Macaca fascicularis: one gene and its partners. The protein of the gene in region 4 purifies or fractionates together with the protein of the main gene of each other region. This does not show direct contact. Links are inferred from orthologs where the notes say so. Each region holds a gene or a part of one and is shown on either strand. Other genes may lie near its edges. The genes, in order: WAPL, REC8, PDS5B, SMC3, PDS5A, NIPBL and USP13.

The links.
Region 1: the proteins of SMC3 (region 4) and WAPL purify together in Homo sapiens (affinity purification with mass spectrometry; 7 studies listed by BioGRID and IntAct, with this or other methods). This does not show direct contact. The link is inferred for Macaca fascicularis from reciprocal best matches to the Homo sapiens genes SMC3 and WAPL.
Region 2: the proteins of SMC3 (region 4) and REC8 purify together in Homo sapiens (affinity purification with mass spectrometry; 3 studies listed by BioGRID and IntAct, with this or other methods). This does not show direct contact. The link is inferred for Macaca fascicularis from reciprocal best matches to the Homo sapiens genes SMC3 and REC8.
Region 3: the proteins of SMC3 (region 4) and PDS5B purify together in Homo sapiens (co-immunoprecipitation; 7 studies listed by BioGRID and IntAct, with this or other methods). This does not show direct contact. The link is inferred for Macaca fascicularis from reciprocal best matches to the Homo sapiens genes SMC3 and PDS5B.
Region 5: the proteins of SMC3 (region 4) and PDS5A purify together in Homo sapiens (affinity purification with western blotting; 8 studies listed by BioGRID and IntAct, with this or other methods). This does not show direct contact. The link is inferred for Macaca fascicularis from reciprocal best matches to the Homo sapiens genes SMC3 and PDS5A.
Region 6: the proteins of SMC3 (region 4) and NIPBL purify together in Homo sapiens (affinity purification with western blotting; 4 studies listed by BioGRID, with this or other methods). This does not show direct contact. The link is inferred for Macaca fascicularis from reciprocal best matches to the Homo sapiens genes SMC3 and NIPBL.
Region 7: the proteins of SMC3 (region 4) and USP13 purify together in Homo sapiens (affinity purification with mass spectrometry; 4 studies listed by BioGRID and IntAct, with this or other methods). This does not show direct contact. The link is inferred for Macaca fascicularis from reciprocal best matches to the Homo sapiens genes SMC3 and USP13.

The regions. Positions count from the first base shown.
Region 1 is NC_088383.1:60,172,456-60,175,955, reverse strand, and holds part of WAPL (wings apart-like protein homolog), read right to left. Parts: intron 1,023-3,500; coding exon 795-1,022; intron 1-794. UniProt on the Homo sapiens protein: Regulator of sister chromatid cohesion in mitosis which negatively regulates cohesin association with chromatin. Involved in both sister chromatid cohesion during interphase and sister-chromatid resolution during early stages of mitosis.
Region 2 is NC_088381.1:91,987,134-91,991,108, reverse strand, and holds the start of REC8 (meiotic recombination protein REC8 homolog), read right to left. Parts: upstream 2,801-3,975; 5' UTR 2,376-2,800; intron 2,275-2,375; 5' UTR 2,189-2,274; coding exon 2,133-2,188; intron 2,029-2,132; coding exon 1,960-2,028; intron 1,842-1,959; coding exon 1,542-1,841; intron 1,450-1,541; coding exon 1,329-1,449; intron 1-1,328. UniProt on the Homo sapiens protein: Required during meiosis for separation of sister chromatids and homologous chromosomes.
Region 3 is NC_088391.1:12,291,725-12,295,973, reverse strand, and holds the start of PDS5B (sister chromatid cohesion protein PDS5 homolog B), read right to left. Parts: upstream 2,801-4,249; 5' UTR 2,657-2,800; intron 2,197-2,656; exon of another isoform or gene 1,818-2,196; intron 1-1,817. UniProt on the Homo sapiens protein: Regulator of sister chromatid cohesion in mitosis which may stabilize cohesin complex association with chromatin. May couple sister chromatid cohesion during mitosis to DNA replication.
Region 4 is NC_088383.1:119,651,594-119,655,857, reverse strand, and holds the start of SMC3 (structural maintenance of chromosomes protein 3), read right to left. Parts: upstream 2,801-4,264; 5' UTR 2,678-2,800; coding exon 2,663-2,677; intron 1,541-2,662; coding exon 1,465-1,540; intron 1-1,464. UniProt on the Homo sapiens protein: Central component of cohesin, a complex required for chromosome cohesion during the cell cycle. The cohesin complex may form a large proteinaceous ring within which sister chromatids can be trapped.
Region 5 is NC_088379.1:39,170,145-39,173,644, forward strand, and holds part of PDS5A (sister chromatid cohesion protein PDS5 homolog A), read right to left. Parts: intron 2,193-3,500; coding exon 2,069-2,192; intron 946-2,068; coding exon 787-945; intron 1-786. UniProt on the Homo sapiens protein: Probable regulator of sister chromatid cohesion in mitosis which may stabilize cohesin complex association with chromatin. May couple sister chromatid cohesion during mitosis to DNA replication.
Region 6 is NC_088380.1:37,376,700-37,379,352, reverse strand, and holds the end of NIPBL (nipped-B-like protein), read right to left. Parts: intron 2,400-2,653; coding exon 2,034-2,399; 3' UTR 501-2,033; downstream 1-500. UniProt on the Homo sapiens protein: Plays an important role in the loading of the cohesin complex on to DNA. Forms a heterodimeric complex (also known as cohesin loading complex) with MAU2/SCC4 which mediates the loading of the cohesin complex onto chromatin.
Region 7 is NC_088376.1:91,427,980-91,432,110, reverse strand, and holds the start of USP13 (ubiquitin carboxyl-terminal hydrolase 13), read right to left. Parts: upstream 2,801-4,131; 5' UTR 2,625-2,800; coding exon 2,457-2,624; intron 1-2,456. UniProt on the Homo sapiens protein: Deubiquitinase that mediates deubiquitination of target proteins such as BECN1, MITF, SKP2 and USP10 and is involved in various processes such as autophagy, endoplasmic reticulum-associated degradation (ERAD), cell cycle progression or DNA damage response.

The DNA of each region.
Region 1 (3,500 bases), about 59 Mb from region 4:
TAGGGGTTTGAGGCTGCAATGAGCTATGACTGCACCACTGCCCTCCAGCCTGGGAAACAGAGCAAGACCCTGTCTCAAAAAATAATAATTATTACTATTATTATAAAATAAAAATTAAAAAAGAAAATGGCAGACGTAAATCCTCTGAAACTTTTATTCCTGAAATCCATGGAGAAAAAGAATTCAAATTCCTAATAGCCTAAATGTAGTTTCTACCCTTTCTTTTTGAGACGATCTTACTCTGCCACCCAGACTGGAGGTGCAGGGGCACAACCTCGGCTCGCTGTACCTTAAAACTCCCTTGGCTCAGGATATTCCCCCAACCTAAGCCTCCTGAGTAGCTGGGACTACAGGTGCACACCACCATATCTGGCTAACTTTTTGTATTTTCTGTAGAGCTGGGGTTTCCCCATGTCACCCAAGCTGGACCCAAACTCCCAGGTTCAAGCAATCCACCTGCTTCGGCCTCTCAAAATGCTGGTTATTACAGGCATGAGCCACTGTGCCCGGCCCATTTTTTTCCTTAAAAAATAAAAAATAAAGAGAAAAGGATTAGAAAAAATGCACAGAAAATGCAACTATTTACTGGGCAAAAAGCCTAAATACAGATAAACTAGTTTAGGAAGTTCAGGAAAGGAAGGAAATTATGCTCAGATCTAAACCTAAGAAATTTGCCAAACTGTAAACCAAGGTTAGAGTTAAAATAATTTGCCCACAGTCACACAGCTGCTGTAACTAACCAAAGACTTTATGAAAGTAATTCTCATCTTAGAAGGAAGGAAGAAGGAACCCACCGTTATATTTTCTAGATCAAGATGCTTGTTGTGTACAGTTTCACAGAGCCTTCGGATTTTTTCTTTAATTTTGTTCATATCTTTTTCATTCAGTAGCTTGGCTGACGAAGCATCTTGTTCCAGTTCCAAAAGTCGAATCATTAGATCTAAGCTAGCTCTGTCAAGATCCATGTTCAAACGGTCTCTACTCAGTATATACATGAGGGCAGCTGTACACAGGGACAGATTCTTCCACAGGCCAAAAAAAGGAAAAGAGAAAAAAGTTCATGTAAGCAACTCCTGACATCTCAGGAAATAAGATGGTTAATGACTTTTGTTTACAAGTTAGAACACTTAAAACATATTACCAAATATTCTGAAGAAACATGTTTAAAAAATTAAACGCTGGCCGGGCGCGGTGGCTCACGCCTGTAATCCCAGCACTTTGGGAGGCCGAGGCGGGCGGATCAGAAGGTCAGGAGATCGAGACCACGGTGAAACCCCGTCTCTACTAAAAATACAAAAAATTAGCCGGGCGCGGTTGTGGGCGCCTGTAGTCCCAGCTACTCGGGAGGCTGAGGCAGGAGAATGCCGTGAACCCGGGAGGCGGAGCTTGCAGTGAGCCGAGATCGCGCCACTGCACTCCAGCCTGGGCGACAGAGCGAGACTCCGTCTCAAAAAAAAAAAAAAAAAAAAAAAAAAAATTAAACGCTGTTGCTTAAAATTTTCCTTTCAATGGATCATCCATATATGAATGCCTGATAGCTAGAAGAATATAAGCTGAGTTAAATATTTATTTGGCTATTCTGTGCTAAACGAAGAGTTTATAGAACATTTTTACAGATATGTGTGTGTGAGTGTGCATATATATATATATAAATTCTATTATGACATACCTCATTTTTTTTCTTTTTGAGACAAGGTTTCACTTTGTCATCCAGACTAGACTGCAGTGGCACCACATCAGCTCACTGAAGCCTTGTCTGTCTGGACTCAAGCAATCCTCCCCACTTCAGCTTCCCAAGTACCTGGGACAATCGGCAGACGCCACCATGCCCAGCTGATTTTTTTCTATTTTTTTGTAGATGGGGTTTCACCATGTTGCCGAGGCTGGTTCTGAACACGTGAGGTCAAGTGATACACCCACTTTGGCCTCTCAAAGTGCTAAGATTACAGGCGTAACCCACCACGCCCAGCCTATTCTTTATGACATAGTAGTCATATTTCAGTTTAAAATCAATAATTTAAATAATAATTTTAAATCTATATCAAACCCTTAACACATTTTTTCCCTTGGAAAACACAGCTGTGTTTGCATCCGTATATAAACCCAGGATGCTGAAATACACGTATTTGGATTTCTTTAAAATAAACCAATTGCTAGGCGTGGTGGCTCACACTTGTAATCCCAGCACTTTGGGAGGCTGAGGCGGGCAGATCACCTGAGGTAAGGTGATCGAGATCAACCTGGTAACATGGTGAAACCTCGTCTCTATTAAAAATACAAAAATTAGGCTGGGCGCAGTGGCTCACGTCTGTTAATCCCAGCACTTTGGGAGGCTGGGGAAGGCAGATCACCTAAGGTCGGGAGTTCAAGACCAGCCTGGCCAACATGATGAAACCCCGTCTCTACTGAAAATACAAAAAAATTAGCTGGGCATGGTGACGCTCGTCTGTCATCCCAGCTACTCGGGAGGCTGAGGCAGCACAATCACTTGAACCCAGGAGGCGGAGGCTGCAGTGAGCTGAGATGGTGTCACTGCACTCCTGCCTGGGTGACAAGAGTGAGACTCTATCTCAAAATAAATAAAATAAAATAAAAAAATAAAAAATAAAATAAAACAAAACAAAACAAAATAAAATACAAAAACTAGCCTGGCATAGTGGCAGGAGCCTGTAGTCCCAGTTACTTGAGAGGGTGAGTTGGGAGGATCACTTAAAAAAATAAAATAAACCAATCAACTCTGGTTGAACCAAATAATTTTTTAAATCATTAATAAACTGTCTCAAAATCACTCAGATCAGGTAGTTAAGTCAGCACACTCTACTTTTTTTTTTTTTTTTTTTTTTGAGAGGGAGTCTCGCTCTGTCGCCCAGGCTGGAGTGCAGTGGCACAATCTCGGCTCACTGTAACCTCCACCTCCTGGGTTCCAGCAGTTCTTGTGCCTCGGCCTCCTGAGTAGCTGGGATTACAGGCACGCACCATTACGCCCGGGTAACTTTTTGCATTTTTAATAGAGATGGGGTTTCACATGTTGCCCAGGCTGGTCTCAAACTCCTGAGCTCAGGCAATCTGCCCATCTCAGCTTCCCAAAGTGCTAGGATTATAGGTGTGAGCCACCGCACCTGGCCAGGACACTCTACTAACACAATCTAAAAATACTGAAGGTGAAATATTCTAGATAAATGTGAATACAAAAAAAAGGTCTTACATTTGGGATATCCCAACACTTGAGATATTCTGTACTTACACTTATTTCAATATACAGAAAATGCAACTATCTAAAGATTTAAACTTTGAGCCCCCAGAAATAGAGAAGCATCAGACCAGGTGTCTGATTAAATGTTTATATAGCAAATTATTTTTGGAAATTAGGATGCCATAGTAAAGGCCATTGGGGATCCACTGCCCTTAAAATCACACACTATAATGTCTAAGTTCACTGTTAACTGCATAATAAAGCAAATTCTATTTTTTGTTTGTTTTTAAGAGATGAGGTTTCACTA
Region 2 (3,975 bases), on a different chromosome or scaffold from region 4:
CTAGGGAAACAGCACAAGCAAAGACATGAATGTGGTATCATTGAGGCATAAGGGCCAAACTAGTGTTTAGGAGCCACAGATGCCCAGAGGACTGAGAGAGAAGTCTGGGGATGACTAGTTCTAAACCAGGGTATGTGCCGGGCATGGTGGTTCACGCCTGTAATCACAGCACTTTGGGAAGCCAAGGCGGGTGGATCGCCTGAGGTCAGGAGTTCAAGACCAGCCTGACCAACATGGTGAAACCCCGTCTCTACTAAAGATACAAAAATTAGCCGGGCATGGTGGCAGGCACTTATAATCCCAGCTACTTGGGAGGCTGAGGCAGGAGAATCGCTTGACCAGAGGAAGTGGAGGTTGAAGTGAGCCAAGATCACACCACTGCACTCCAGCCTGGGTGACAGAGACTCCATCTTAAAAAATAGTAATAATAGGCCAGGCGCAGTGGCTCACACCTGTAATCCTAGCACTTTGGAAAGCCAAGGTGGGTGGATCACCTGAGGTCAGGAGTTCGAGACCAGCCTGGCCAATATGGCGAAACCCCATGTCTACTAAAACTAAAAAAAAATGGGCCAGGCGCTGTGGCTCATGTCTGTAATCCCAGCACTTTGGGAGGATGAGGCAGGTGGATCATGAGGTCAGGCGTTCGAAACCAGCCTGGCCAGCATGGTGAAACCCTGTCTCTACTAAAATTACAAAATCATTTGGGCATGCTGGCGAATGCCTGTAGTCCCAGCTACTTGGGAGGCTGAGGCAGGAAAATCACTTGAACCAGGGAGGCAGAGGTTGCAGTAAGCTGAGATCGTGCCACTGCACTCCAGCCTAGGCCACAGAGCAAGATCCTGTCTCAAAAATAATAATAATAATAGTAATAAAATAAAAAAATAAACTGGGGCATGGAGAGCCCCAAATGCTAGTAATCTGTTTGCAGCAGGAGCCACTGTTCAAATGGGGAACTAAGGAAGGAGGTGACATTAAGCTGTTGGAGTATTGGGAATAGATGGAGGAGGACAGGGGTAAGAAAGCCCAGTACAGAGAGATGAGAGCCTGGATTAGGGCCTCGGCAGTGAAAACAGTGTGGAGACAAGTGGGGACAAGAGCTGCCTCCAGTGGGGAAACCATCTGATCAGATTGGCCCCGAGTAGATAAGTACAGGGGGCTTCGCCTGGATGGATCCACCTTGGCAGTCCCCTTGTTACCACCTCCCGTGGGAGAGAGCTGTGGCAAGCTTCCCCCCCCAACCCCAATATCAGAGTGACACAGGGACAGCACTCCCCTTCTGCATTGTCAATTCACGAGTCTGGGGGAATACGAGTCTGGGGGAATAATACCTGAGGGATATCGAAAGGACTAGGAAGTCTGGGATCCACAGACATCATCCCAAAAAAGGGATCTGGAGCATCTTCTAGGGTTTCCATCATGGCCAGGTGGTTAGGAAGCAGTAGGCTGGGTCTGGGAGAGAATGTAGGCCGTCAGGGACTGAGGCTGAGCTAGGCTGAGGCCAAATTAGCAGGTGTTCCATCAAAGGCCCAGGGAACACTCACAGCTCAGTCTCCATATCTATTCGGATCTGCAGCTGGGCACGGTGGAGGCGCTCCAAGATGTGCTGGATGTCCTCTGTGGGCAGGGAGGGCGAGGTAGACAGCCAGCTTAGCAGACAGCTGCTCAGCCCGCCCCACCTCTGAGGGTTCCCAGCCTTACCCACGAGGTACTGGCATTGTTGAGAATAGACGCGGATCACACCGATCTGAAGTTGGGCTGAGAGATAGAGGGAGAAGCGGGGCCGCGGCAGGCCGGGCTGCGGGGGTTGCACTCGTACCAGCACGTAATTGAGGATTTCCTCGCTGGGGAACAATGGGCCCTGATTACCGCTGCGCCCAGGACTGGGCCCACAGCGTTGCCCACCCCATCCCCTAACTCACCCCCCCGCCCCAGGCCCTCCTTCCCTTTTCTGGGCCTTACCAGGTCTTCACCACATTCACCCTCAGGTATTCGCGCTTCACCAACCGGCTGCCGCGCGTCGCTGCCAGCCTGAAGTGGGTGGGGAAGGTGGGAAAATGGGGACGGAGGGGGAGCTGTCAGGCTGGGATCCCGGCCAGCATCCCCCATCGCACGCCCACGGGCCCCACCCTTACCAGATGGTGGCAAAGCAGCCGGTGTGGCGCTGAAGCACGTTGGGATAGTAGAACATCGTCCCTCTGGCCTTTCACCCTCAATTCCACCAGATCGCCGTTTGGATCTGAGTCGGAATTCTTTAGGGCACAGAATTCCCAACACCTTGGAGAGAAGTCAGGATTTGGACTTCTCTGGTGGCAAGGTGGGTGCACCCAGAAAACCAAGTTAATGAGGCAATGAACAATTGGTGTATACACGATTACCGGGATAACTGAGATGCAGGAGATGGGCGCCCCTCTCTGTGGACCCTCAGTGGATCCGCTCGCCACGTGATGCGTCGAACTTGAGCCTTCTGGGTTGGGTTCCAGGTTGGAGATGCAGAGCTCCAAGGGGACGCCCGGGCCGGAATCCAAAACAGGTCCCGAGGGAGCACGGTGTCCTCCACAGCAGGCCTCGGTCCTCGAGCGCTGGGAGCGATATCAGGCCCCTGGGACTTTCACTGGCTTGGGCGGCCGCGGTGTGGGCCCGGGATGTCTCCCGCAGGACTAGATGGCACCGCGGGAAGCGCGCGCTCCGGAGCCCCGCACCTCGCTCCTCATTAGATGGCGGCTTTTGCCAGGACAGCCAATGGGGAACAGGGGTCGGGTCGGGAGCGCCAAGTAGCCTAGGCTCGAGGCAACAGGGTCTCCCGAGGCAGCCAGCAAACCAATCATAAGGACTCTGCGTGCCGCTGGGGTCCATTGTGAGGTGTTCTGACCAATGGGCTCTGGTTCTCGCCTCTAGTAACAGGCGCTCCTTCCTTGACCAATGAGCGCATCCCCGCCGCTCGCCTCTAGCCTGGCAACAAGGGCGCCTCAATTGGTAGGGGAGGTCGGGTCACGTCGGGGGCAACTGTGCTGGGTCTCTTCCGGGTGCCAAGATGTACCTTGCAACGCGCCTGACCTGAGGTTAGACCCCGCCCTCCCCCCAGTCCACAAACTCCTACTTTGTTTCCAACTAGGGCGTGTCGTGTGCTGCAGAGGTAGAAAGATGTGAGATGAGGCCTGGAGCGGTGGCTCACGCCTGTAATCCTAGCACTTTGGGAGGCTCAGGAGGGCAGATCATGAGGTCAGGAGTTCGAGACCAGCCTGATCAACATGGTGAAACCCCATCTCTACTAAAAATACAAAATTAGCTGCTCGTGGTGGCACAAGCCTGTAATCCCAGCTACTCAGGAGGCTGAGGCAGGAGAATGCTTGAACCTGGGAGGCGGAGGTTGCAGTGAGCCGAGATTGTGCCACTGCACTCCAGCCTGGACAAGAGAGCAAGACTCCATCTCAAAAAAAAAAAAAAAAAAGATGTGAGATGATAGTCTTGGAGCCCCCACAGGTCAATGAGGAAGAAGTCAATCGTTTTTGTTTTGTTTTGTTTTGTTTTGTTTTGAGATGGAGTCTCTCACTGTTGCCTAGGCTGGAGTGCAGTGGCGCTATCTCTGCAATCTCGGCACACTGCATCCTCTGCCCCCCATCCCCTCAGGTTCAAGCGATTCTCATGTCTCAGCCTCCCGAGTAGCTGGGATTACAGGCACCCTCCACCACACCCAGTTAATTTTTGTATTTTTAGAAGAAACGGGGTTTCACTATGTTGGTCAGGCTGTTTCTTTTCTTTTTGAGATGGAGTTTCACTCTGTCACCCAGGCTGGAGTGCAATGGCGCAGTCTCAGCTCACTGCAACCTCCGCCTCCCCAGTGCAAGGGATTCTCCTGCCTCAGCCTCCCGAGTAGCTGGGATTACAGGCACCCACCACCACCCCCGGCCAGATTTTGTATTTTTTAGTAGAGACAGGGGTTTCACCATATTGGTCAGGCTGGTCTCGAACTCCTGA
Region 3 (4,249 bases), on a different chromosome or scaffold from region 4:
GCTGCCCCAATTCCACCACATGAATACGACTGTGACCTCAGATAAATCAATGAAATTAAAATCTGAACCGAATTTCTCATGTATAAGCGAGTTGGAGATCATCCTTAAGTTTTCTTGTTGCTCTCTAACACTAACGGAGGAAACATAAATAACTTTTCCAATATAAGTTATATACAGTCCATGTCATTCAAGAGTCCATAAGCCAAATCTTACTGAGCGCACTCCTGTTAGTTCTAAGGCAGTCTCTAAATTTCCCAAGAGGAATAAGCAGAAAGAATACAACTTCCCGAAATATTCCTTTCTCACAAAGTTTTGGGTATTTTCTACCATTGCATTCTTCTCCAGGGCAAGCCCTAACACAAAGTATTACTTTATCTTAGGCCTAACAAATTATTGATAAAGCCTACTCCTCAAAATGTTACTTTGTTAAACAAAGCTGCAGAACAATTTAAACAACTTTCATCAAACAGCCAACTCGGTAGAATCTTACTACAAGTAAGCTTAATACAAACATCTCACGACAAGAATCACTATCATCAGTACATGTGTCTCTAATACGGGGGTAAAAATGAGAGGGGAGAGACATAACACGAGAGAATAAAGGCGACAAGAGTAACAAAAGCTGCTGTAAAAGGTAATATAGGGAAAATCAGCCTTAACCAAAACAAGGAGAAAAGAAAAAAAGAAAAAGGGTGAACACAAACACTACCTTCCCATTTAAAATACACCTTTAAGTAAACGCCAGCTGAGAAGAGGACAATTTTTTAAACCATCAGAAAAAGGAGGAAAAAGTCACTATTTGGATAATTTTTATAAAGTCTAAAGTGCATCTTTTTACATATACTTGTAAACGTATATTAAGCACAAATCTTATTTCTAAGGAATAACGTTCTTAAAATGTTTTTAGTTTCTGACAATCAATCGATCTTAACATAAAAGGTCCCATGTAACTTTCACCTATTCACCACTACAAATTTTAATTCGGTTTTCTGCTATCACCATGAGATACAAGATTAACTGTTCCACGAACTGACCCACATACACCATTGAATACTCATTTCATTGTCCCTAAAGATGCGAACATCTCAGACATGTGTACTGCATAACGAGCTGTCTTTCAAGTCCATATTTGTGGCTTTTAACTAGTTTACCTGACCACTACATGAGTTAATATAAAAAACGTTCTGTCTGGGAACTCTGGATGGGTTAACTGAGAACAACGACTATATTGCCGTTCAAGTATTGGGTAATGACGATTTATTTACAGCTCGCCTCCTGCATGTAAACACAACGTGAGTTTTTGAAGTTTATTAGGAAGATGGTATAGGATTACCCAACTCTCTCCACACCGCAGACCAACCCTCTAAATTAAAGCTATATCCAAAGTTTCTGAAACTATTTCATCGACAGGGTAGGATCAGTCGGGGCACCACTGCCCATCCATCACCTCTTATTAAAAGTACAAGAAGCACTTTCTTCGACATAAAAAAGGGTTAACCCTTGCTGGGGTAGAGAGGCTGTTGAAGACGCGCGCGGAATGGGTGGGTAGCTGCTCTTTCAACCCTTCCCGGAGCTCGCCCCGTCCGCGGCAAGGAACGCAGCAGCCTGCAGTTCCGAAGGCGAGGGGCGGCGTTTCTGGTTTCAGTCATTCCTCCAAAATAACTGTCGAGCTACTTCAGAGTTAGCTTTCACGTCTCTACCAAAAACCAACAGCAGTAGCAGCAACAACAACAAACAAGGTTTTTCTCCGGACCGAAAACTTTTAAAGTAGCATTAAAATAACAGTGCAAAAACATTAACGAGTCACAATTGCACACCATTTTCCCCGCCGTTCCTTCCGAAAGGAAAGCTAGAACCCAGTTGTCGCCTGGGAGGAGTCCCTCCACGCCAGCGCTGGGCTCTTGCTCAACGGGGTCCTCAGGTTCCCCGAGCACCCACTCCGGGCGGCGCGGTGAGCGCGATTTCCCTCGGGCAAGCAGCGAGGAACAGCGCAAAAATGTCATGCTCAGCCCGTCCCCTGGCCCGAAGCGCAGGCCAGGCGGCGCGCGGGGAGCCGGCGACGAGGGCGAGGGCGAGGGCGCCCGCGGCCCCGACCCGCGGTCCCCGCCCGCCCCTCGCCCGGAAGGGGGAGAAGCCCGCCCGCGGGAGGATTCAACAGGAGCACCGCGCCGCCCGCCTGCCGCCCGGGAAACAGCCGCCGGCCGGCCGGGGCGCGGGGGGAGGGGCGCGGCGGCGGCGGTGGCGGCGGGAGGGCGCGGGCGGCCGGGCGGCCCCGGGACCCCAGCCCGCGCGCAAGGTCACCGCCCGCCGCCGCCGCCGCCCGGGCCGGGATCAGAGCGGCAAGTTTAATTTCCAGAGGCTGCGGCAGAGCCCGCGGCGTGGAGGCGCGAGTCGGCCGCCGGGCCCTCCCCACCCCCACCGCGCAGCCGGCCCGCGCCCCGCGACCCCCGCCCCGGGCCGCCGCCAGGCAGCCGCCCGCTGCAGCCCCCGATGCCGGGAGGCGAGTCGCGCCTGGCACCCGGGCGGGCGGCGCTTCAGCCCTGCCACACACACACACACACACACACACACAGCTGCAGTGGCGGCCACCGAAAAATGGAGCGCCGCGGCCAGAGAAGAGAGACATTTTCTTTCCGTTAACTGAATTGTTTCCTACCTCCGGGTTTCCGACTCGCTACTCCTCTCACTCCGCGGCTCTCCGGGATCCGCCGCCGCCGCCGCATCCAATCGCCTTCTCTCCCCCCTCCCCTTCCGCAGCCAGCCCGGCCGTTCCTCCTCCTCTCCGCTTCAAAATGGCGCCAAGCGCTCTTCGGCGGCTGCTCCAATCGAACCGCCGCGGACAGCACCCGGGGGCAGGCAGAGCGCGGCATGGGTGCGCAGCGCCCCCTGCCGACCAGACGGCCCCGCGCGCGCCCGCCCTCCGAGCTCCGCCCCGCCCCGTCCGCGCGCGCGCACTCCCCTCCTCAGCCCCGCCCCGTCCGCGCGCACGCAGCCACACGGGCACGCCGCCGCGGAGGCCGCGAGACTGGCAGCTGTCAAGGCGTCCACTACCCTTGCAGCTTACTAGACCTCCACCGACAAAAATCATTCCGATTGTTACGTAGCCCTATCTTTTTAGATAAAGATTGGGAGATTTTTTTAAACACTGACATTCAGCACAGGTGTTGTGCTAGGTTAACATAATTGGTATTATTAACTACTTTGCTCCTTGTTAATTCTGACCTAGTCGTCTCGGAATGCCATACAAATAGTTTTCCTACACTTTATGTGTTGTGTCTTTATTAAATCTCCCCGCTTTCCTAATTTGATGAATTGTTCATAGGTGGTAAGCTGGCGGAGACACAGAGTAATTGAGCCTGTGACGAAGCATTCTATTCCTTTGGCAGAATTGTCCTTATTAGAGGAAGACATCATCTGGAGACCACAGGGACACATTCCAGGAGGTGGGTCTCCTCCCCTCTTCACCTTTAGGGGATGCCAGTCCCTCAAGTGGGTTTAGCCTGGTCACAACAGATCACCTACCTTTGGGGAAGCTTTTCCTCCCCTGCCAGAACTGAAGAAGGGACTTCCTCCTCTTTTTACTTTAATATCATCCCTTCTGTAAGGAAGTTTCCCCCGATATGATGTATTTGGTTACTAGAATTTTGTTCCAGGGAGAATTTGTTTCAACAATGAACAAGCAAAGGGTGAATGAATGGATTACAATAGGATACTTATCAACTGAAAGAAAAGATAGGTAATGCTGATCTGTAAACTAATGTTACTGTGCACCTAGAGATACTAGGTGCATTTTCCTCTGTCTGTCCTAATGGTAATTGCCTCATTCACCCTTACCATGTAGCTGTTTTGAAGGCTATCTCCTTTCTGCACCTAGAGATACTGAGACCTCTTCATTTCCATTTTTGTGGGATTTCCTGGACAATTCCGCTTCAGTCTCCTACAGTGCTTGCTAGACCAGTATGTTGTGTTACTGTATTCCTATGTCCAAGATTTTGCCACTGAATACTCCAGGTTCTACCCATTTTACACATTCCTTGATGAAGTCCACTATGAGTTTTTTCTGCTCTCTTTTTAAAATTATCTCAGGAATTTTCTTATTTTACATTGTTGTTCCATCAGCATAAATCTTGTATGGAAGAAGAGAGTAGGATGTCTAGATCTAGAAAAACCTTTCCTCTTTGGTTGTTTTTATCTTTTTTACTTTATTTTCTTCAATTCCCAAACCTCCAAAGCCAGGAAGCAAGAAAGT
Region 4 (4,264 bases):
AATGAGGACATTAGGATGGGGCCATGTGAGCACACAGCAAGAGAGCAGCTGTCTGTAAGCCAGGAAGAGCACCTCACCAGAACCTAACCATGCAGGTATCCTGATGATGGATGTCTGACCTCCAGACTGTGAGAAAAAAAAATATCTTGTTTAAGCTACCAGTCTACGGTATTTTGTTATGGCTGCCTTAGCAAACTAATATACCGCTTAGTCTGGACTCTGTACAGCAAAACTGCGTCAATAGCAGTCTGTTTTTCTGGTGTCCAGAAGCACTCCTTTCATCTATCCTGTAAAATACTCAGCAGAATGTCAGAAAACATCTTTGTTAGCTGTATCAGCAAAATGCACACTACAACCTGAGCCATCTATAATGACTACATATTGTTAATGGCAATCACCATTAGCCCTTTATTCTCACACTTACATAAGGGTTCTCATTTAATCTTCCCAACAGCCCTATGAGACAGGTTTACAAATGAGAAAACTGAAGCTTCTCAAAGTCTCAAAAAGAACGCGTGACTGGGATTTTTTTTTTTAAATTATGATACTAGGGTACATGTGCACAACATGCAGGTTACATAGGTGTACACATGTGCCATGTTGGTGTGCTGCACCCATCAACTCGACATTTACATTAGGTATTTCTCCTAATGCCATCCCTCCCCCAGCCCCCCAACCCCCTACAACTGGGATTGGAACCCCATTCTGTTATGCTCTAAAATTTATGCTCTTCCAATCTAGCTACATGGTCTGTCCTTAGAGACACTGAACTAGAGGGTTGGGGGGAGGGCAGGAATTCTGGGATCTACTTTGTGAATAAAAACTGTCTTGTCTCTGAAATAAGGCAACAGTCAGCATTTTAAGATATATAACAAGAACAGAAGGGCGCAAATGCTTTAAAACTCTCTTACACATACACACAAGGCTACCCAGGTAAAAAATGGGTAACTTGGCCGGGCGCGGTGGCTCAAGCCTGTAATCCCAGCACTTTGGGAGGCCAAGACGGGCGGATCACGAGGTCAGGAGATCGAGACCATCCTGGGTAACACAGTGAAACCCCGTCTCTACTAAAAATACAAAAACTTAGCCGGGCGAGGTGGCGGGCGCCTGTAGTCCCAGCTACTCGGGAGGCTGAGGCAGGAGAATGGCGTGAACCCGGGAGGCGGAGCTTGCAGTGAGCTGAGATCCGGCCACTGCACTCCAGCCTGGGTGACAGAGCGAGACTCCGTCTCAAAAAAAAAAATGGGTAACTTATGAGTGTCTTATCCAAACATTTTAAGTTCATAGAAATAAGCAATTCATCAGCGCAATAAGACAGAAAAGTTATTTCAAGCAGAAAAATATACATAACTTTACTTAACATTCAAAGACAATTCCTGTCTCCTTAAGCCAATATACAAATCGACAGAATTTACGTTATCTGTATAGACTATAAATATGACCGAGTAAACCAAGAACACTTACCAATCACATTATGTTTTGAACTGAAGGGATCTACAATTGTTTGATCTCTGTAACTTCGAAAACCCTGGATAATCACCTAGTAAATAAAAAACACTTTTGAGAACTCACCCCCCCCCCAAAAACAATACATTAACATTTTTCTCTTGAATTTCTTTCTTGTTTCTCATTTAATGCAATATAGAAAACCTGCAATTTCATATAAGAAAAATTCATTTTGGAAAGTGGTGATTAAAAATCTGCTTTAAAAGAAAAAAAAAAAAAGTCCATTCATCGGTAATCTTTGCCAGTGCAATGCTGCTGGGTTTTATTTTTTTTAGGCGTTATAGTTGTCAACCTGTTAAGGATCTTTCAAAATCAAGAACCCTGTGTGAGCCTAACTGGAACACTAGACACTGCAGTACAATAGCAAGTCTATCCAGCAGGCCGACCGGCCCCAGCTCTCCTGACTCCAAGACCACCGAGCGCTGCTTTCAGTCACTCACACCGGCCAGCGCCAGCCAGAAAGAGCCCACGTTCCAAAGGAGTGCTCAGAGCCCGACAGATCCAACAGAAAACCGTCTCCAAGGCCGTGTGCCTGGGCTCATCTTTGTGGTGGACTCCCGCGCGGGAAGACCCTTTTGACAGAAGTAAACAACCGGGGGAGGCGGCGCTCCGCATCCTGCAAGCAGGAGGGTCCCGCTCACTTCGCGGGTTAATCCGGGAGAGGAACGGCCCCCCGCAGTGACACCTGACACCCCCAGCCTGTGCCCCCAAGGCCGCCCCCGAGCCGGGGAGGCCACGTTTCCACACATCCCACGCACATGACCCGTGCGAGGCCACCCGTGCAGGACCACAGAGCCCTTACGCCCGCGGCCGCCCCGGCGCGGTGCCCCCGCCAGCTCTCGGGCCGCCCGGGAAGGCCCAGTTCCACCCAGCGGCCCGCCCGCCCGCCCGCCCTTCCACACCTCTCGGAGATCCTGCCTCTCCTAGACCAGCGCCAGCGGGGAGGCCCAGGCTGCAGAGGGGCACCCCAATTCTCCGCGACCCCGCAGCCGGGACACTCGCGGGGCCTGGGGTCCCCTCCTCCCCCACAGTCCCCGCCCAGCCCTGGTCCAGCCTGTGGAGAGAGGGAAAGGCTGCGGGTGGCGCCGCAACACTCCCGCCTCAAGGAGCAGTCCCTACCGGCCTATGACGGGGTGGAAGGACGCGAAGGCCTTACCTGCTTTATGTACATGATTCCGGGCCCCTGGCCTGGAAGGAGACTTGCCCCGGAGCAGCGACCGCCCGGCTGCACGGTCAGGTGAGGCGCCTACGCGACCCCTCCCCCAAAGCGCCGCTCGCTCCCCTCCAGCCAAACAAAATGGCGGCGCTCGTGGAGGCGGAGTCCGCGCCTTGGAAGGAACCACCTTGCAGCCCTCACAGGGCGTAGGAGGAGTCAAGTTCAGGTCTGCTCTTTCTTTTAGGCAAAACCAGTCTTCCACAGCGTTGTTTGATGGATTTCATTTGAATATAGAATTCTGTAGCTAACGGTTTCCTGAGACTTAGTCAAAAGCTTCACTCGGAGAAGCCATGACCGTAAGGTTGGTCCGTACCCCCTCCGAGCGCAGGGCCAATGGTCGCGTCCACGAGGGGGTAAGGTTCCGCGCCAAAGCCGGGTGGGAGACTCCGAGGGCCAGTAGCGCTGCGGGCCGTCGGCCACGTGATTCCGCACTGTTTAAAAAAGGGGACCGCGCGCGCTGTGCCAGTTCTGGAACACATGGAATGCTGGTGACTGTTGGAATTCTGTGCACAGAGTCCCTGCTGCCCCTTTGTTATAGCTCTCCCTAGGAACGTTTACAATCTTAGCACGCCCCAAGCTGGTTCCGAACTGCCCACTCGCAGGACAACCCCGAAGGGATTTGTCAATGCTCGAAAATTTGTTTTAATATGTTAATTAATTCCCTCCGTAACTGTTTCTACTCTGCCATCTGCTATAAATCTAGGCAGATCTGTATAATTGCAACAAAGATTTAGGTAAGGCTGAAAGGTTTTAATCTACTTTAAAAACAAAAAAAAACATCCTGGCTTAGGTGCTAGTGGCAACCCTAGGTCTCTCTGATCCCTATCAGTCTTGGGAGAAAAACATCATTTGTTTAAAAAATGGATCTCTGAGCTCTGAAATTACTTGCTGGGAAGAGAACAAAATACCCAGATCATCCCCAGCCCTCCGGCCCGCTGCTGGAGGCAATTCCGGCCTTGATTATTTCTAGATTGAACTATTTTTAATAGCCTCCTAACTGCCTCTGTTAACCAGGGTATCTCCCTAGGAGTCCTTTATGTGGAGCCCGGATAAAATCCTATCCAGCCCTTGCTTTAAAATAAATAAATAAATAGGCCAGGTTGAGTGGCTCACTCGTGTAATCCCAGCACTTTGGGAGGCCGAGGGGGGAGGATCATCTGAGGTCAGGAGTTCAAGACCAGCCTGGCCAACACGGCGAAACCCCCGTCTCTACTCAAAATATAAAAATTAGCCAGGCGTCGTGGCGGGAGCCTGTAATCTCAGCTACTCAGGAGGCTGGGGCAGGAGAATTGCTTGAATCCAGGAGGCAGAGGTTGCGGTGAACCAAGATTGCACCACTGCACTCCTGCCTGGGCAACAGAGGGAGACTCTGTCTCAAAATAAATAAATAAATATTTAACCATTTTCTTTTCTTCTATTTTTTTTTTTCTGACAGGATCTCGCTCTGTCACCGCTCTGTCACCCAGGGTGGAGCGTAGTGGCTCGGTCATGGTTCACCGCAGCCTCGAACTCCTGTGTTCAAGCCATCCTCTCACCTCAGCC
Region 5 (3,500 bases), on a different chromosome or scaffold from region 4:
TTTTTTTTGGAGATAGAGTTTCCCTCTTGTTGCCCAAGCTGGAGTGCAACTGTGCAATCTTGGCTCACTGCAACCTCTCCCTCCTCGGTTCAAGTGATTCTCCTGCCTCAGCCTCCTGAGTAGCTAGGATTACAGGCGCCCGTTACCATGCCTGGCTAATCCACTTAGATTTCTAACAATGTCTGATAAAACAAATTTTAACCAGGCATGGTGGCTCATACCTGTAATCCCAGCACTTTGGGAGGCCAAGGTGGACAGATCACCTGAGGTCAGGAGTTCAATACAAGCCTGGCCAACATGGTGAAACCCCGTCTCTACTTAAAATACAAAAATTAGTCAGGCGTGGTGACAGGCACCTGTAATCCCAGCTACTTGGGAGGCTGAGGAATGAGAAGAGGCCAAGGTTGCAGCGAGCCACTGCATTCCAGCCTGGGGTATAGAGCAAGACTCTGTCTTCAAAACAAAAAACAAAAATAACCCAATTCTAACATTCCAGAAAATGATAAACTGTCTTTTGAGGGTCAGGAAAATAGCTTTTACTTATATTTAACTTTCATGATTCACCAATCCCATGTTCTAATTTTTGTTTCTTAAGTGTGAAATTCTAGTAGTAATAGCTACCATGAAATAACGAAGTAGTTTGGAATTTAAATAATAAATAAGTAGAACCAATATAGAATAATTTAAAAGAAAAAGAGAATTACATAGAAACAGAAGTGTTTCTGTGATGAAGATGTAAACAGTCTTAGTCTCATGATTCTCAATTTAATTAAATGAGAAACTTACCCTGTCATTCATTAGCAGATCTTTCACAATAAAATTTGCTACTACAGATTTCATTGGGGAAGCAAACTGATCTGGTGCTAACATAGAAATGTGGCCCAATGAAACTAATGGAGTTATAAGTTGTTCTGGCACATCAGCATTCAGACTCCTACTGAGTGGCTATAAAAATAAAACAGACAAAATTACCAATTTGTTTGATAAATATCTAGACACTCTACTGAAACAGTACATTTTCCTGGTCCTCCTGAATTTATCATGCCCAAACCAATCTTCTCTAATATGATCATAACTAACTTCAACCTAAGACACCTGGTACTTAATTCACCTACTAAAATTTAGCAAGATTGAAAGAATGTAGAAAAAACATAAAAAATAAAACTCAAAAGAAGTTAAAAAAAATTTTTGCTTCATGAAATCAGCATTATTTTTGACTAATTTACAACAATGGATTTGCTATATTGGTGGATTTCTTATCCTGTGGGAACATTTTAAATGACCTTAAATCATACAAAGTAAGAGTTCACTGGGTTTTGGTCACACTACCTTCAATTTATGATAATAGGAATACATTTCTAATAGTAAAATGAGGCCAGTCATTATAAGTAAAGAAAGGGAAACAGGATTGTCAGGTAGGGCTCTTAGGTACTTAAAACTGGATTGTTCAAAATTATCTACTAATACTTTCTGAGGATAAATGCACCACTGAACCAATAAGGCTAAAATTAAGTAAAACGTTCTAACATAAACACGTAAGGCCAGGTGTGCTGGCTCATGTGTGTAATCCTCGTACTTTGAAAGCATGAAGTGGGTGGATCGCTTCAGTCTAGGAGTTTGAGACCAGGCTGGGCAATATGGCAAAACCCCATCTCTATAAAAAATCCAAAAATAGCTGGGCATGGTGGCAGTGCCTGTACTCTCAGCTACTTGGGAGGCTGAAGCAGGAGGAATGCTTGAAACTAGGAGTTCGGGGCTGCAGTGAGCAGAGATCGCATCACTGTACTCCAGCACTGGTGAGAAAGTGAAACCTTATCTCAAAAACAAACTAAAAAACAAACAAAAACCACAAAACCCTTCAATATGAGGTGTTTGAACATATAATCTGATCCACAGGCCGGGAATGCAGTACCATATAAAATAGACAGAATCCTTGCTCACAAGGAATTTATATCCTAGGGTAGGACTTCATATAAACAGCTTTAAAAAATCTAGCTTCCATCTTCATCAAACTATACAGCTTAAAAAATAAAGACCAATATAAACACAACCTATATATTAGATATACCTCAAAAATCTGTGCAAGCTGGACTTCTTTATTTGTGAATATGGCGTGTATACAGTGCACAGCCTGTTTTGCTTGGTGTGGAGTACCCCTCTTTGCTTTTTGATGTAAAATGGGAATTAAGGTCCTGCAAAAAATAATATAGTTTTTTTTTTTCTTAAACCCATAAACAAACAATTATTCCTTTGGTTGACTTCCACGTCCCCTATATGGATGGATGCTGGTAGAGAAGGCTCTCTTAAAAATTATCTGATCTAAAGAAACTTGTAAAAAAGCTCCCTCTCTGCCCCCAAGTATAAACCAAGAAATACAATGCCTCAAGAAAAAGCCTACTTGAGGAGACAATTTTCATTTTAAAGCTACCTGACAAATATGCAAAATAACAAGTAACCCTTAATTCATAATCTAAAGCTTATCCCATGACATATTTTTACATTTACCTTCTAAGTAGGAGATTGCTAATTTTTCAATTCCCTTTTATAATCCCCTTCAGTTATTTCAAAGTAGCTATGGAAAGAGAGTAGCAAAAGACCAAGTTGTATTAAGCAGCTGAAATAATACTAGTGAAAGAAAGTATGCAAAGATACAGCTACATATATATCACTAGGATGGCAATATAAATATCTAACTATTATGTGCCAGGCACCATTCTAGGTATTTCTGCATGGATTAATTCAACTAATGTTCACATCCACCCAAAGACGACTATTATAGTCATTACACAGATGAGAAAATTAAAGCACAAAGATGTTATTTAAGCCTCCTAAGATGACGAAGTTAGGAAACTGGGAGTTGGGATTTGAAAATTAGCACCTCTTTCAAAATCCATACACTTACCCTCTACACTGACAATGAAAAGTAATCTAAAACAGTCTTCTTTCAGGACGAGATGGAAAAACATGTAACACTCTCCAAAAATTAAATGTTGATGACACGAAAAAACATTAGGTAGAATGAAGAAAACAGTGTGCATATATGAACTTATAAAAAATAGACAAACACATCTAGTAGATGAACATTCATAGAAAGTATACATATCAAATGTTAATGGTGACTATTTCGTTACATCTTTTCTAGTTTCAGTTTGCTGCAATGAACATTAAGTATTTTTATAATCAGAAGAAAATTGATGGCCAGGCGCGGTGGCTCACGCCTGTAATCCCAGCACTTTGGGAGGCCGAGGCGGGCGGATCACAAGGTCAGGAGATCGAGACCACGGTGAAACCCCGTCTCTACTAAAAATACAAAAAATTAGCCGGGCGCGGTTGTGGGCGCCTGTAGTCCCAGCTACTCGGGAGGCTGAGGCAGGAGAATGGCGTGAACCCGGGAGGCGGAGCTTGCAGTGAGCCGAGATCGCGCCACTGCACTCCAGCCTGGGCGACAGAGCGAGACTCCGTCTCAAAAAAAAAAAAAAAAAAAAAAAGAAAATTGATAA
Region 6 (2,653 bases), on a different chromosome or scaffold from region 4:
TAATGTCTGATGCTCAATTAGTGAGACACAATTACTTCAATTCCAGATTTAAATCCCTATCACGACATTACTAAATTACCAAATCCTTCTAAGCCTGCTATCCTTATCTACAAAATGAGGATAAAATATATAACTAGAGTTTTTGTGAGAATTAAATGACAGCACGCATCGCTGTCAGGTAAATAGCATTCAAAACTGGCTTTTTACTCACATTTATATTCTTAGTACTCTCTCTGGGCTGGATTTTATTCTTGTATTTTCTCTAACCAGTATTTTACTCTTTTCGATATATTATTTTCAGAAGTGACCTCAAATCCTTTGTTGATATACATAAACTCCAAGAAGAACAAACCAACCAACCCAATCTAGTTTTGTTCCAGAGTTCACAGTATAAGGAAAAGAGAAACATGTAAGTAAGGGGAAGAAAATGAAGAGTGAGAGAACATTTCTGTGAAGAAAGCATTTGAAAGAATTCCACATAGGAAATAGATCCTGAAAAGTTATTTTCATAGTGGTTTAATAGGTGTCACAAAAAAGTATTTTGTGGCAATGTCATTCTTCCTCAAAAATTGAATACCTTCATTTATTTGCCAATTTCATAAAACAGCATTCTGGAGGTCAATTTTTTCAGTGATTTAAAAATGAGTAAAACATTTTTTAAAAGATTTAAACTTGAAACAGACCTCATTCCACTGTAAATTTTAGGCATTACTATTCCTGAGTGTCAACTATACACATCAAATGATTAAACACCTCCCTCCTGATCTAGTCAAGATATCTGCAGTAAGCAATGTGTAAATGACAACTGTTCCCAAAAAACTTATGATAAAGCTTTTAGAATAGAAAATGAATAAACATCTCAACAAGTAAAATTACTCTTTTCAGCATTAAAAAATAATTTGTGAAAAATGTAGTGAGTGTAATTATGAAGTGGCATACTCATCTCAACTTTAGTTCTAAAATAACACGACATCATTTTAACTAAGAGAAATGCTGGTTTTCCAAATAGCAGGTTACCTTTTACCCGAGGTTTAAAGAATAAGTATCAGCATCATGACATCACTAGAAAGAAATTGAAGCATACAAGGAATAAACTATAGTTTCTTTTTATATCAAAATGTACTCTTGAAAATGTGTTTGGCACAGTGCTAAATCATATATAGTTAATACTAAATATTGCAGGATACAATAAAACCCTGGAGTTAATTGTTTACACCCTCTTATGGGAATGAAAATAATAGATAGATACCAATTATTCAGAAGTCAGCCTATACAAACTGTATAAACAATATTTTATGTTTTGCTTTGAAAACCAGTGATATAATAAATTTTACATAAAAGACTGTAAAATAATATAAATGGATTTAAACAGATTTTTACAATAAGAAATTCAAATGGAAACAGACAAGTAACAAAGAGAAGTAAAAAAATTTATTGCAGTATTCGCTCCACCAGATTACCTGGGGATCCCTTTTCTTGTATTGTTTTCAGGGTGACCTAATACATCAAAATCTACATTTACAAAAACTCCTTCTGCAGATAGGTCATAGATACTGCATGCTTTTTTTTTTTTTTTCAACAGAATAAATTATATATCCAGGAGATTCTGCCATTTTACAGCCTGGAAAAAACAACGCTTCCCTGGAAACTGGGCTAAGCTAAAGAAAGCCATCCGCTGCTAGGTTAAACTCCAAGAACACTTTATTAAGAACATTAACAGACTAATTTCCAACATTCACTTGTTTATTTTTTTTAAACAGAAAGTTTTTTTCCAAGATATAAACAATTTTTGTTAAACTATAATACAGTGGGAGTAAAAATGAACTGAGAATCTGTTTCTGCTGCACAACAGCGAAGGGAGCTCCCACAAAAATGTTTGCCCAACATTTCCTTCTTTTGTTCCTGCATCCCAGGTTCCACTTACTCTTCATAAAACTGATTTTTTTTTTTTTTTTTTTGCCAGAATGTTGGTATTTCAAGTTTTTCTGCCTTTTAAAAAAATTCCTGTAAATTTGGCTGCATGTACAAATTCATTAGCTGGAAGTCCCATCCTTGGCGGCATACAGGGATCGTAAAGTCTGAACAACTTTATTAGTCAGCTTATTAGCACTCGTTAGAGCAATTTTTTTGTAAATAATGTCTGACTCTTTAATAGTGTCTACCCAAGGCACCAGTTTGCGGCCATCACGGCGCTTAGCCTCAGTCCAGGAGCCACTGTAGGAGCCTGCCATCCACTGAACACTGAAGCCATTGCTGGTTTTCTGTACTACTCTTGCAATTTGTGGTCGATCTTTGTACTTTGGACAGCAAATAGCGATGACATCCATGACGTCAACACTTTCATTCATCTGTGCTGCCAACTCCGTAGAGTCTGAATTTCGTTTTGACCTTCTCAATGACTAAAACATTGGGAGGGGGGAAAAAAGACCAAGTGTTACACAAAAGAATTTTAGTGAAATTATTGTTTTTATTGCTTTTAATCCCTTGACGCCGGGAGTTGGGATTTCCCGGCACACTTCCATTGCCGGCAATGAGACGCACCGTGACCGCCAGCGCCAAGGGGTTAACATATACTTGTAAAACCATATAACTCTTAATTTGTACCCGTGTCTTTACTCTTATTGATATATAAAATTATATATACATATGAACC
Region 7 (4,131 bases), on a different chromosome or scaffold from region 4:
TGCAGTGGCTCATGCCTGTAATACCAGTACTTTGGGAGGCCAAAGTGAGTGGATCACTTGAGGTAAGAAGTTCGAGACCAGCCTAACCAACATGGCGAAACCCTGTCTTTACTAAAAATACAAAACTAGCCTGGTGTGGTGGCACACGCCTGTAATCCCAACTACTTGGGAGGCTGAGGCAGGAGAATCGCTTGACTCCAGGAGGCGGAGGTTGCAGTGAGCTGAGATCATGCCATTGCACTTCAGCCTGGGCAACAAGAGCAAAAATCCATCTCAAAAAAAAAAAAAAAAAAAAAAAAAAACTTCTCATTATCAAGCACTGTGCTTTAAGATAAATATTATCAAACCTTCCTTCCCTTCCTGCCCGAAACATAGATAATGAAATATACTGATTCATCAGCCTTGTAAATTAATCCCAGTCTCCCACAAGGAACTGCTATGATGTGACTGAAATCATCAGTCTACACTGGACGAGATGTTTCTAGAATAGTAACATTCTAGAAACACACACAGTAAGCTCCCAATAACTATTTGTGGAAGTGAATTTTAAAAATCAGCCTTTTTTTCCACACCTGCTATCCACTACATTATGCAGCAAAAACTTCCAAGAGCAAAGTTTGTAAACAGAATTTGAAGAAGAGCCCAAATCAAACATGGGGAAAGTCATTTGACCCCACTTTCCATGTCATGCTATCCTAAAAGACTTAAGCCACTTTCTTCCTCGTGGAGGTAACAGTCTGTCAATTGCTTAGGTTAGTTACCACTATCATCCCTCTCCAACTTTAGGAACTGCCCAACACTGGCCATACAATCTGAAAATGGCATTTTCAAATAATTTATGGATAACATACTAAGAAAGGACTGCCGATTCTCACATTCCACTCTGGATCTTTTCGAAATAAAAAAAAGTAAGCAGTCAAAAAATAAGTTAGGTTTTATCCCTCAAATGATATGTAATTACCATAAATAAAAAAACTAATGTCACAGAGAGGATACTAACTCTGATACTCCAATGTGTATCGAGCAAAAATGCTTTGCAGCCAGCCAAAATCAACCCACAGATAATAAAGGAAACTTTGGAAATGTTGCCGCTCATTTGGACTTTTCTTTTCCCCTCTGACAATACTCCACATACTATGAATCAAAGGTATTGGACAATTGCAAGACCTGCCTCGGTCCATCCAATCCATGCGCCTTCCAATGCATTGAGATCTGCCGGGTGACATATGAGATCTAAAGTGGGTGGATAAAAATAACTTGGTCCTCAAAAAGACATGATAAACGCCAGACAGCTGAGTCACTTAGAAGCCTATTTTGACTTTTGAAAGGGACATTCACCCTCCTGCTGCTTCTCACACTTTCACATAGAACCAGGTGAAAACCACCACCAACCGCCCCGGTAGAAGGCGGCGATCCCTCTCAGCTTCCTCCTCCATTCTCCGAGGTCACGACTCGGGATTGAACTTTTAATAATTTATACTTGAGCATGTCAGTCCAAGTGACTCATTTAGAAGGGTAAGGGGGAAAGGCTTAAGAAAACCATCACAATCCAGTAGATCCCCTATTTCTGCTGCCCGATTGGAGGCACCGGAAGGTTTCGTCTGCCTTTTTTTTCTTTTCCTTTTTCTTTTTTTTTTTTTTTTTTTTTTTTTTTGAGACGGAGTCTCGCTTTGTCGCCCAGGCTGGAGGACAGTGGCGCGATCTCGGCTCACTACAGCCTCCTCCTTCCCGGTTCAAGCGATTCTCAAGCCTCAGCCTCCCGAGTAGCTGGGACTACAGGCGCCCGCCACCACACCCGGCTAATTTTGGGGGGTTTTTAAGTAAAGACGGGGTTTCGCCATATTAGCCAGGCTGGTCTCGAACTCCTGACCTCAGGCGATCCGCCCGCCTCCGCCTCTTAAAGTGCTGGTATTACAGACGTGAGCCACCGCGCCCGGCCCTGACATTCTAAAGGCAAGAAAAGGAGTAGGGTGAAATGGGAAGTGGTGGAAGAAAAGCTCAGAGAGCAAATCAGAATTGTCCAGGAGTGGGGATCCCTGAGCAAAGCAAGTGGTCCCAGAAAAGGAAGGGCTGTGTGTCCGGGGGTGTGGGGGAATCATCCCGTCCACCTACCCGCCCTGCGCTCTGCCCCGGGGAGGACGCAAACGATCTGCAACGTGCAGTTCGGAACAGGGAACTCTTGGACCTCATCTATCTTTAAACGGCGGCGGGGCTGTGTGCAAGCTGCTGGGAATTGGGCCCTTCCAGCCTGGGGAGGCTGGAGGAGCAAAGCCACCAGTCCTCGGCTGCAGCAGCCCTGGGGCGCTCACTGTCTGCCGAACTGCAGTGCTCCTGAGCCAATTCTGCCGCCCAGAGAAAGAGAAGAGGTCCCCGGCCGCCACTGCGCATCTTCTACCCCGGCTTCACGTGCCGCAGGCCGCCGGCCCCGCGACCCTCCCCCGAGGCGCCTCACTTACGGGGGAGTCGTAGGAGAAGGCGCACTCGTTCTTGTAGACCCTGTCGCCGGACCTGGGCACGCGGATCGTGGGCATGTGGGGCACCAGCAGCTCGCCGATGTCTCCTGCAGCCATCTTCCGGCCTCCGCTGCCGCCCGGCATGCCGAACAGGGCGCCCCGGCGCTGCATGGCCTCGGCACGCACAGGAGCCGAGCGAGCCGAGCCGGAGCCGGAGCGCGCTGTCCGCCGGCGGCGGTGGCGCCAGCGAGCGGGCGGACGCGCGGGCTGCGCGGGCGACCGCAGCCGGGCGAGCCGGGGCGGGCGGGGAGAGCGGGCCGCAGGGCGGGAGCGGGCACCGGGGGCTCGGGGCGGGCGGGCGACGCTGCTATTTTTAATCCAATGGCGAGTCTCCGGCCCAGCTGCAGCGTCAGGCGGGGCTGGGGAGCGCCAGCCGCAGCGCGCCGGGGAGGGGGAGCTGGAGAGGGGCCCTGCGAGCGGGCCGGGCTCGGCGGCGGGGTCGGAGGGCGAGCCCCTGAGGCGTCGGCGCGGGAGCCCGAGCGGGCTGGCGGCCGACTGCGGCGCGGGAGAGCCCCGGGAAAACACCACGTAGGTGTTTTTCTATCCCGAACTCTTGGCTTGCAGAGGGGCAACTCCGAGGAGGCAAACACAAAGAGGAGGATTGGGGGTTTTAAAAACCGCTTGCTTTTAAAACAGCCAAAGACTAGAGCGGTGACGTCCCCGGATTGGGTAGGGGCAGGACTCGATGTGCAAATCTGGAATCTAACGTGAGGCTTAAATCTAAATTTGCGCCATGCACTTCGGTGTTTCCCCACTAAGCTTCGTTCCTTACTTTAACATCCAAAGCTCAAAAATAGAATAGAACAAGATCGAGTGAGGATAGAGGGTGTGTGTGCGTGTGTATAATAATAATATAGGTTTTCTTATTGGAGGAAGTCAGAGATGGTCAAGATTTTTTCAGGGCGTCGGGAGGCTTTCTATTTTTCTCGGCCTTTGGAGTATCTTCTATGTGATTCAAAGTTCCCATGTCGAACATTCAGTGGCCTGATTTGAGGATTTTGTAGGCAAACATACATATTCCTGTCTTACTCATCAGTTCCTCAAAATCAATGATGAATGGGATTGGGCTGGGGGGTTGATCATTTGCAAGCAGAGCATGTCTCCCAGCGTCCTCTCATTTTCTCCAAAAAACTCATAAGACGGTTTTAGTGACATAGAGGTTCTCTTAACTACACCCAATATATATATTCATAGCAGGGTATCCAGTTAATGAAACGCCGAAAGAGCGAGAAATAGTGAACCAAAACGCTAATTTTTGTAAACTTCTCCCAGATCAGACAGTCCTTAAGTTCTTTTTTTTTTTTTTTTTTTCTTACATTATTTATCTGTTAACTCTCCCTGGTTCTCCAGACCTGTCTCGAGATTTCCATACCCTCAAGCAAGCTTGGAGCGCACCACACTTTCTTATAACTCATCACTCCCAAATGCTATCTGTTGGAAACGGAGGGGGTGGCACTGAGCAAAAAATCAGACACTATTGTCATCTTCATCATTGGGGCAGATACTCTCAGCGAGCTTTTGCTTTGAATTTAGTCTCATCAGCTTATTACCTTTCAGGTTCATGGATGATGTTTTCTCCAATTACAGAGATAGACTTGGTTTTACGAAACTTAAAAAT